Linked DNA regions of Drosophila melanogaster. The protein of the gene in region 1 interacts with the protein of each later gene in a pairwise test. Each region holds a gene or a part of one and is shown in the gene's direction. Other genes may lie near its edges.

Region 1 (3,755 bases):
AGCCGGGCATCTTGATTCTAGGGCAGGGTCCTCCCTCCGTGGGGCATTCGACATTCGTGGGACACTCGGCGGATGTCACGAACTTCTTGCGCTTGCGCCTTGGGATCGGCGGACGAATTCCCGCCTCGTAGCAGCAGATCTTCTTGGGCTTTATCTTTATGGGCGGACACTCCACCCAGGTGACCTGGTACTTGCGCGTGGCCTTGTCAGAGATCTTGTAGTAGCATTGGTCGTACGGGGGGAACCGTTCCGCGCAGGGATCGGTGCAGCACTCCGGCGGCTGCTTCACCAGATGATGGAACTGGAAGCCGTCCTCCTTCTTCGGCGGTGGTTTCTTCGCGAACCGGGGGTCTCCACAAGCGGTAAAATTACCGCAACCCTTTCCAGAACTGTCACTGCACTTTGGAGATGGATTGTGGTCCTTTGCGAAAGCGCGATGGCAGACCACGCTCGCAAAGCTGGGTATTACTCGATTTTGGGTTTTCGTTCCAATACTGCGCCACATAGACATGGCTGGATACGGGCTGATATAAATTTCTCGGGGGGGAAAGAAAGGTATCGCTAAATACAACAATCCCGAAACAAAAATGAAAATCCCTCGGCACCGAAAAATGACCAAACTACAAATTTGTAACCGAATACACAATCAGCTCAACGGAGCCGATGTGAATTTTGGAAGAGGCCGAGAGGAACTGGCATACAAAGTTATTCGACATGGCTACATCGCATCGAAGTAAATTTCAAGGCATCCTTTTCAGAATATTATTATATAGAAAGAGGAAATACTCTGTTAGCGCAGAGTACTCCATATTTATACATAAAAGAAAAAAAACCCTACAGTCGTTTTCTCCGTAAATCACATACCACTTATTCTGCTAGTACGAAAATTGTGACGAAATAGATTTACAATTGGTCAAAAATAAACTGAAATCCAAATAAAAACAAGAGCCATTACTCAGCAACATGGGTCAACTTCCGCTGCGTCAATGTCTCTAGAATCTGTATGCTAAACCTTATAGCTTTTATAGTTCCTGAGATCGAGACGTTCATATGGACAGACGGACATGGCCAGACCGACTCGGCTATTGAGTCTGATTAAAGTATATATATTACTTTATGGGGCCGGAAACGCTTCCATCTGATTGTTACATACATTTTTAAACGAATCTAGTATACCCATTTACTCTAAATATAATAATATAATATAAAATAAAATAAAAAGTATAATAAAATTTTCTTCAGCACTTAGGTCGCGAAAAGTATTTGGAGACAGGTTCTGCGGCAAATTCTACCAAAACCATTTTGTGCTGCGCTAACGTCTTTAGAGTCTGGTTGGTCAATCCAACCTGCATACCTTTTTAAGTGCCCGACATGGCCTGATTGGGAATGAACATGTATATAGAGTCGGAAATGCATCCTTCTGCCATTTACTTACGTTTCATCGTATTTAGTATACTCTACTAGTAGCGGGTACGATAATACCATTCCCACAAGTTTGCAAAACTTCATAGATTTTACTATAAATTCTCTAAGATATTTAAAATATGTATATCTTAAGTTATATACTCGTTTCCCTGAAAAGCAAATTGAGATGAGGAAGAGGAACCCTCACAAAAGTGGGGAAAAAAAAGGCACTGCAACTGGTACAACAGGTGTAGCTTAGATATATCTAGAGGTCTTTTAGAATTTGTATTCCAAATTTCCTATAAAGTATGCTGTGAATGCCCACTCCGAGCTGAGGATGTCGGGTTTTAGTTAGTCTACACTCAGTCCTTGGCCTAACATAACATATTTTCGACTATTTTCGGCTTTGTAAAACAAAATTTGGTAAAAAGGTTCAATATGTTGCGAATGTTGCGTCAGAAATGTCGTTCCCTCGTAGATCGGAGCATGCCGTGCCTGGAGTCTTTGGTAAATGCCTGTTCTCTATTCAAGGTCGATTGGTCCAAGAATCTGAGCCAAATCAAAACCCCGGCCGACTGCGTTGGCTCCAGTGTGCTCCGGCAGCACCTGTTACGCCGCAACTACAGCAGTCAGTCTTCCGCCGATGATTGCGGGCGGCCAAAGGATTGCGATCAGGTATCGACCTCCAAGGGCTGTGGTCCTGCTCGGTTCAAGGGCACCATTTGCGATGCAGTCAAGGGCGGTAAGCGCAAGAAGAAGGAAGAGCCCAAGAAGGAAAAGTCCAACAAGCCGAAGCTGCCAGCAAAGATGAGGTCCATGTGGTATATACCCGACTGCGAGTACGTGCCAAAGTGCGATGTGCCAGTGCGGTACGACATCCAGCACTACCGCATATCGGACAAAGAGGCCCGCCAGTACCAGGTGACGTGGAACGAGTGCCCCCGGTTGGTGATCAAGCCCAAGAAGGTGTGCATCCACGCAAAGCGACCGCGTCCGAAGCCCTGCCGCCGTCAGCGGAAGACGGTGGTGGCCACAGCCCGTCCCACGATGCCCATGCTTAATCCCATGGAGTGCAAGAAGGCAGAGGACTCCTCACCCTGTCCGCGCTGGACTCTTCCCTGCTGCAAGCCCGCCCGTATTCCGCCCAGTTGCCACCGAGAACGCCGACCTACCGACTGTACCAAGCGCCCGGCGCCGTATCCCAGCTTCTCAGAATGCAAGCGGGAGGAGCTCACTAACGCACCACCTACAGAGTGCCTATGCCTTCGAGTTCCCATGGCCTGCGAGATGTGGGCGGAGCTGAGGCGAAGGATCGCCCGTGGCAAGGGGGCAGTCCTTAAGTGTGGCGAAACGTAGGCGGCGGCGAAAGCACAGTCATTCGACATCTGGCCACAACATTCCGGTCACTTTTCCAACTCACAATCCACCAAAATTACAGTTTTCCAAAATAGCCAATTCATTCCATTCGCACTCCACAATCCACAATCCACAATCCACACTTTCCAAATTCAAAATGCTGTTAAAACGCTGCGGGAAAACCCTAATGCCAGTCGTCGTCCGATTGGCCAGCTGTGCCAGCTCCAAGGGCGGCACCTCGGACTCCAAGTGCAACTCCAATTCGAAGGATAAATGCAAGCCGGAGCCCAGCTGCAAGCGCTCCGCGAAGAGGAAGAACTGCTCCAAGGTCCCAACACCATTCCCGAGCTACTCGGAGTGCAAGCGAAAACAGACTGACCCTAATCCTTCCAAGGAGTGCGATTGCTGGGACTTTGACAAGTGCTGATCCCCGGCAATTTGGATACCGGAGCTCCGGGGATGTCTCTCGCTTATGGCCCTCCCACATTTTCATTCCATAAGACTGAGGACTCTGTACTCATAATCCCGTTGGTGGCACTGGGAGCCTAGGTGTTTTGTCCATGTCCAACCTTTGCAGTTATCCTGGACGCCTATTATAAAGCTTTAATCCACGTCAAACTGACCGACGTTGAACGAAATACAAGAACTAAAAAAGTTTCAATCATTGATTTTTAATTAACTGGATGGGCAATAGGGTTCCATCAAAGATATTAGAATTTCTAGTGCCTTCGGTTCCATACTCGAATCGATATTTAATAATTCCATATTTAAGCTGCTAATGCAACATCATTTATGTACTAAGGAGTTTAATTTGCAGGCGGCGACCGATTGGTCCCGAAAGGCATATTCTTGTTACTTTTTTAATTTTTGAAAAAATAGTTTTCCGATAATCCGAAAACCACATGGGTATTCGACAGATCGAGTAGGCAAACCGTCGACAATCACCAAAAACCATGTGCGTATTTGAAAGATCGAATTTTAAATCTATCTAGTAA
Region 2 (3,755 bases), on another chromosome or scaffold:
CAGTACATCAATAAACTGAGTTTCTGGCGCCCAACGTGGGACGTCAGTGGCATTTTGGGACAGCACATGCATCTGTCGCACTCTTGTGGCTCCACACGCGCTATTCAACTGCAGTTGCACTTGTGCAATCTGCGCCTGAGCCTCGAGCATTTGCTTTCTTAGCTCCTCGGCCAGCATTTCGGTCAGGCCATAGTTGTTCTCCTCAATGCCTTGCTGTTGCATTTGTTGTTCCATTTGATCACAGGTATTCACTTGCTGAAGCTGCTGACAAGGATACACATTCTGCATCTGCGGCAGAACTTGCTGCTGCATCGACTGCTGCAAATTGTATGCAAATGCTTTGCCAGACTGCTGCTGCTCCTGACACTTGAGACATCCTTTTGGTTTCACATTGGGACAGGGTGGATTTCGTCCACAATTTCGTTGCTGTTGCTGGAAGCAAGATGGTTGCTGCTGCAAGCAAGATGGTTTCTGCTGCAAGCAAGATGGTTTCTGCTGCAAGCAAGATGGTTTCTGTTGAAAGCACGGTTGTTGCTGTTGAAAGCAAGGTTGTTGCTGCTGAGGACAAGATCGTTGCTGTCCAAACCAATTACCATTCTGTTGCTGCGGACAACCCGTGCACTTATTGCACCTCGAAATCGATGGCGGTTCGTTGTTCATGTTATCATTTTCACAATCGAGGCTGAGGAAATGTGCTTCGGTAACCTGGCAAGCGGTGACTATTTCCGCTTCACCCATAATTTGGTGTTCCTCATCGCATATGGTCACGATATTTCCGCAATTGGGGACGTCGGATTGAAACCATTGGCAAGTACCAGGACGATGTCGTGTGGGATACTCTCCTCGAAAGCAGGGAATTATCTTCGAGTTCGATGGCTTCGGTTCCGTTTCTGGTATACATTCTGTGGGCTTTTCTTCCTCTATTATAAAATTGGTTTTCGTTTCCGGTTTCAAGTTCTCATGCGTTTCCGGGATTGAATTATTTGTGTCTTTCACTTCTGTTTGCTTGTTTTCTTCGGTCAAACTCGGAACTCCGGAAGGTATCTTTTCGAACTCTTTTTCTCTGGCCTTGGCGACGGATGCCTCACTAACCAGCTCTGGTATCTTATTGAACTCTTCTTCCCTGCTTTTTGCCTTCACTGTGGGGGATTCATTGCGACGTTTGGCTGAGGCCATCATAGACTGACCAGGAGTCTTTGAATTGGGTGGATCTCCTCCCAACACTGGTTTCACCGGCATACCCGCCTTCAATCGAACCGATGCCTTGGGCTTACTGTGCGACATCAATGGCACAAACTCTGGACTTCCCATCGATCTGCAGACACTTGCCTGCCGGCGACGACGAGGTGTTGGTGGGCAGGATGATCGGGAACGCACGGCTTCCTGTCCAGACGGTAAGCTCTGAGCCAGGGCTCGCACCAGCTGCTGTCCGACTCGATTGCTGTATTGCTCCGATGCTATGTTCCTCCTCGGAGGAGGACTCGCATGACGCCAATAGGGACTGGGCCTGGTTGACTTGACTCCGTCATTGGGCATTTCTTCTTTTTTCCCAAATACAATTTTTTGTCTCAGTTATACAATGCTTCCGTTTAAATTTGTTTTTTGGCGTGACAAAGAATTTTGTAATGTCATTTTTTTGACCAAAACTAAAAAGAGAGTTTTGGTCGACATAAATAGTAAGTTAAATAAACCAAGGAAGTCTTTTTGTTTACAAGGTTTCTCTTATATTCATATCATATTATAATCTGTAAAGAACACATATATGAAGATGGTAGCACCACTTTCAAAACGTTGTTTTATCACAACTGATCATGCAATGATTTTAACAATATAGTCTTAGTTTAGGACATCAAAAATATAAATTGTACCATTTACTTCTACTTTTTTATGATTTTGACTACCGATGTTATGTTTGTGTACTCTTCGTAATTGACCATGAGTGAAGGTGGACTTTTAAACAGAACCAGGAGTTGAAAATGTGCGATCCATGTCGATATTTAAGGAGGTGCATAAGCTGCCATGGCAATGGCTGGTAAGTATAAGAATATAGTTAGTGTCTCAACCCAATTGCATTTATACTCATCCGCAGGTGCTGTCCTCGACCAAGTTGCTGTGAGCGATCTTGTTCCTCTAATATGAGGAATTGTCGCGTCGTGTTTTCTGGGGAGTTCCAAAAGTTTTCGGACATGGTGCCGCCCAGTTTTCTTCTAAAGACGCCAGAGCGCCCAAAGAAAAGGAAACGATCGAAAAGTTGCTCAGCCTGTGGGGACAATTGTAAGGATCCGTGTTTAAACATGGATGCATGTGCGGAGAGTTGTGAGAATCCATGTCAAGATGGTAAGAATGGATGCAAGAATCCTGAAGATTGCGCGCAAGACGATCTAGCTAGAACTGGAGCCTACGGAACAGGCTTTGGCTTCCAACCGGGACAACCGACTATTATTCCGTGTTATGGAACTTACGGACCGACAGGAAATCCAATGATTTTTGGTATCCCGCCACCGACTCAATATGGAGGCTTTGGTGTACCTGGTCCCATAGTTCTACCAGTGGCTCCACCATCCTCGGTAGGTCAGGGTGATCCAAGATCTATTCCAGCGGCAGGTCTACCCACACAGTACACAAATAAGTTTAATCCCTGTACCGGAGAAGTCTACCAATGCGGAGATCGCCAAATGCCACCTGGAAGGCCACAAGGAACGGCGCAAGTACCTTCCTATAATCAATTTATACAGGGTTTAGGCATGAGCTGTGCCCCCAATAGTCAGTATATTCCATTCGATGCAACATTCCAACAACGTCCAATAAATCAAATGCCAGTCACTCCTACCTCAGGAGGAAGTGCACCAGCTTATGGCCGAAATAATCAACCAATGAACTGTGAGCCCAACAATCAGAATTATAGCTATACTGTTCCCCAATCAACGAATCAAGTTCATGTTGGTGCTAACAGATCTGAAGTCTATAACCAGCAGAGTCAAGCCACACATTCAAGGCCAGTTCCCCAATTGGAGTCATCAAAGGGGCAACTGCCTCATGGTAACAACAGATCTAAATCTCCAAATCAACGAAGCCCATCTAGGGGAGATCGATCAGGCAGAGCTTATGCCAATAATAATTTTCCTGAAAATGTTCATGCTAGTCCAGGTGCTCAGAGGTCCAAGTCGCTCAGTCACCGAAATGAGTCGAGGGAAGGTCGTTCCGGAAAACCACAAGCCAGTAGAGCCACAACCAATTATCATTCTAATAGTGGTGGAGATAGAAATGTAGATCATAGGTCCGCGCCCAAGTCAATGGCATCCGCTGGTGAAGTGCGTTCTCGTGATAACAACAGATCGTACGATTCAAGAAATCGTAATAAATCTGTAGGAGCACCTACCAATCGACAACCCGTACTTTATGACCAGCAGAGGGTGGGCATGGGCATTGATCCATCCAATCAGTATTATCCGTACAATGAATGCGCTCCACTTAATGCCACATTTGTCCAAGACCATAATCCTTTTTATGCTCAGCCAGGACATGACGTGAATAGAACGCAAGCAGCAAGTGCACCAAACTTATCGAAGGCAGGACCCAAAAAGGATAAAAATTCGAATAAAGTTCCATCAAGCTTTAAACCATCGAAGGAGAAATCCACTAAATGCTGCTGCACTCGGTTCGATCCCAACAATCAATACTATCCTCATTACGTTTCCGAAGAATCTGATTGTCCACCGGAAGAAAATGTGAACTCTGGAAAAAAGAAGACGCAG
Region 3 (3,755 bases), on another chromosome or scaffold:
TCGACATTATGGGTGTGGGCTTATCCGAAAAGCTTTCAGCGCCCAGACCCAAAACACAATCGGTGACCATCTCTGTTGTGAAGCAGAGACTCATCTGTGGACGATAAAGTAGCAAAAAAAAAAAAAAAACAGGTTTGGTTTCATAGAATACGTACAACAGATAGTATAGATGGAATCTTACGTGCTTGGCATCGATGCCGTCTTTAGAACCCAGACGCAATTGCTTCTCCACCCACTCGGTCAACTTTTGGCACACCTTGTTTGTCACCGGATAGACTGTCTTTATCTGTAATTATGTATATTGGTTGGATCAGTACTTTTCGGGCTTGCCACTGGATGAACTGCCTCACCCGTCCCATCGTAAGACCAGGCGTTACGTCCGCCCTTCGAGTTTTCCACTTTTCGCCAGTTAACGAGAACGGATTGTTGGCGAAAATGAAATCGGTTTTCTCGTCAATATTCTTGGCGATCTCATTGTCGTGGAAGTTCTTAAAGTTGGACACAAAGACTCGACGCGCCAACGCGGGATTGATCACCAGCAGCTGTGGAGAGCGGCTGCCAAAAATGCCCACAGCATCGTACTTGTTCTTATACTGCCTGAATAAAATGATCGCATTAAATTCAAGTAAAGCGTAATTTTTTAAATGCGTTTTAAGAATGGTTCTTGGTTTCTTTGTGAAACAGTTGATGATCCATTGAATTTTGGTAGTTAATATAACCTTTCTAGCTGGGATAACTCACCTGTATATATCGTCTAGATCGTAGATTGCATGCCGCTTCATAGTAAACATGTTTGGATAGTTTCCGCACAATAGCTTTGGCTTGGGACCAGGAACGCCCCGTTTCCTCCAATAGTCATAGTTCCATACCAGCACGGCATACAGCAGGCCCACCACCAACGAAACCAGGGTCAAAGTAATCAGAACCATTTTCGATCGCTCTAAAATCTACGTCCACGCGCGACGAGTTCTAAACGGCGTCTGTTGTGGAATCAGATACTCTGCTCTATTTGTAGCTGCTCATTGAATTTGGGAGAGGTATTCAACAGTGTGGAATCACCGAGATACCTGAGTGAGTGCTCTGGGAGAGTAAACTACTCACACTTTCACCATAAACAGTTCTAACATATAAATGATAAGAGCTAATCATTATTGCAGGCGGTCGTCAATCGTCATATCAAGCAATTATTATTTATTTACGGTCTTGTTCTTTGTAGAAAAAAGCAATAACATTTGATGTTGCAACTCGACTAGCCGCAATGAAATTAACCATTTAGAATAAATTTAAGTATCTTTAGTAACCTAGGGCATATTTGAATGGCTGATGAAATATATACAGTAGTTGAAGGAAACATTATAGCGTTTGCTTCTGTCTTACATATTTTGCTTGCAATATTGGGATAAACAAATGCTCAGATAATCCCAAGCGGTTTATATGTATAGGTCTAGATTGTCGAGTCCTCAACGGATGTAGCTGATTTTGGAGCAACATGAAATATATAAATTTACATTTGCAGCTCAGTTGAATTTGAAACGTTGCGCCGAACTCATTTACATAGAGATCAAAGCTGAATTTTACAAGATTTCTGCTCTTTCCATAATGTCACACATCCAATGCCTTTGGGTGTGTCTGGGTTTTTTTATGCTACTCGTCGACTTCATTCAACCCATCGGCTTGAATGTTTGTAACCGATCGCAGGTGGTTACTTACAAGAGATATGTCGAAAGGAGTAGAGTGATACCATACCAGCATAGATCTTTCTGGAGTGGTTGGCAGACAAAATACCGCACCGAGTATTATACAGACGAAGAGGTAAATACAAAACTTTGAGTAAAATATAAATGGGGAACGGAACTAGTCTCCCTAAAGCTAATAATACAAATAATTATAAAATACTAAAAGATTCCTATGTACAAAGCAAACGAAGATATAGTGTGCTCGTTATCTGGAATTCATTAAAAATCCAAGAGAAAAGAACATTACATTAATTGAGGGTCCAGTTCTGTTTAATTCATCGGACAGACTGGTTGCTTTAAGATAGTGAATATATATATGGTATATACTTCAGGAAACGAATTGACTCGCATTACTCATGGATTTTACTGCATTTTCACTGCATTTTGTGTGTCTGTCATTGTCCTTTGGCACAAGTTTCGCCATTTTACGGCATGGCCTAAATGATTGCAGTCACCCGGAAAGCGTTCCGTATAACCGTAAGGTTCTTAAAAGTAAATTGGTTCCGTTTCAACAGTATTCATACTTTCATGGTTGGGTTACTAAGTACAGGCATCAATATGTCTATGAAGATGAGGTAATTCGAATTTGTACATAATTTATATTATTATTTATAGCTTTGGTAAGTGTGTAGTTAAAGTTTCCTTTAAAGAGGCTTTTTCTCCTGTTCTCTAGACTGCCTACAGGACCGTAATGAGACCCAGTTGCTGTGAGGGCTACGAAGGATCCGTTGAGAACTGCAAACCTGTCTGCAGACAACAGTGTCCTCAACATGGATTCTGCTCGTCCCCCAATACTTGCAGTTGCAATGCGGGCTACGGCGGTATCGACTGCCATCCCGTTTGCCCAACGGTATGTGGAAAAAACGAGTTTTGCGATCGCCCCGGAGTCTGTAGCTGCCAAAATGGCTACAAACGAACTTCTCCCAGCGACAATTGCCTTCCAGTTTGCGAAAAGGAATGTGGACACCATAGCTTTTGCTCGGAGCCCGGGAAATGCGAATGTGAACCTGGGTACGAGAAAGTGGGAAACGGCACCGTCTTTCCAGATGGATACAAGAACAATTCAAATGGCAATTGCTCGCCCATTTGCCCAAAGGATTGTGGCCAAAACAGCCGATGTGTGAGGCCAGGTGTGTGCGAGTGTGAAAATGGATATGCCGGTGACGACGGAGGCACCAATTGCCGACCCGTGTGCTCCACTTGCCCGGAGAACGGATTATGCTTGAGTCCCGGCGTTTGTGTCTGCAAGCCGGGCTACGTAATGAGAAATGATCTCTGCCAGCCGCATTGCGAAAAGTGCTCGGATAACGCACACTGCGTGGCGCCCAACCAATGCGAGTGCTTTCCGGGCTATGAGTCGTCGGGGGCGGACAAGAAGTGCGTACCCAAGTGCAGCAAGGGATGTACCAACGGCTTTTGCTTTGCACCGGAGACTTGTGTTTGCAGTATTGGCTATCAAATGGGTCCCAATCAAGTCTGTGAGCCAAAATGCAGCCTAAACTGTGTTCATGGCAAGTGCACCAGTCCAGAAACCTGTACCTGCGATCCGGGTTATCGCTTCAAGGACAACTCCCATCACGAATGCGATCCTATTTGCGACAGTGGCTGCAGCAACGGACACTGTGTGGCACCCAATTTTTGTATATGCCACGATGGCTATCAGCTCAATAGCACAAATCCTGTCACTTCTATGTGTCAGCCGATCTGCAAAGGCTGCCAATTCGGAGACTGTGTGGCACCGAATGTGTGCGAGTGCAACGTGGGCTATGAGAATATTAACGGACTATGCGAGTTACAAACCACGACGGACTCCTATGAATACAGCACCACAACTGTGGAGTTGCAATCATCAACTGTAGACCCTCAACTGCAGACATCAACCAGCGAGGTTCCGCACTCAAATTGCACTGCCGGTTGCATGTGCTGGATTGAATACGATGGGATGGGTACTTTCAATACAGCCAAGTGTGCCAAGATCTGTGTTGATCCCCAGGACAAGCCGTGCCTCAATTTGGACAA

The links.
Region 2: the proteins of CG2127 (region 1) and CG17666 interact in a two-hybrid assay, tested with the Drosophila melanogaster proteins (one large-scale study listed by BioGRID).
Region 3: the proteins of CG2127 (region 1) and NimC1 interact in a two-hybrid assay, tested with the Drosophila melanogaster proteins (one large-scale study listed by BioGRID).

The regions. Positions count from the first base shown.
Region 1 is NT_033778.4:8,368,008-8,371,762, reverse strand, and holds CG2127 (uncharacterized protein), read left to right. Parts: upstream 1-1,724; 5' UTR 1,725-1,842; coding exon 1,843-2,760; 3' UTR 2,761-3,419; downstream 3,420-3,755. Other genes in the region: CG8701 (uncharacterized protein), read right to left, coding at 1-511.
Region 2 is NT_037436.4:12,779,486-12,783,240, forward strand, and holds the start of CG17666 (uncharacterized protein), read left to right. Parts: upstream 1-1,839; 5' UTR 1,840-1,976; coding exon 1,977-2,032; intron 2,033-2,089; coding exon 2,090-3,755. Other genes in the region: CG10969 (uncharacterized protein), read right to left, coding at 1-1,536.
Region 3 is NT_033779.5:13,974,534-13,978,288, reverse strand, and holds the start of NimC1 (nimrod C1), read left to right. Parts: upstream 1-2,034; 5' UTR 2,035-2,092; coding exon 2,093-2,311; intron 2,312-2,409; coding exon 2,410-3,755. Other genes in the region: Cyp28a5 (cytochrome P450 28a5), read right to left, coding at 1-94, 182-286, 351-597, 742-929.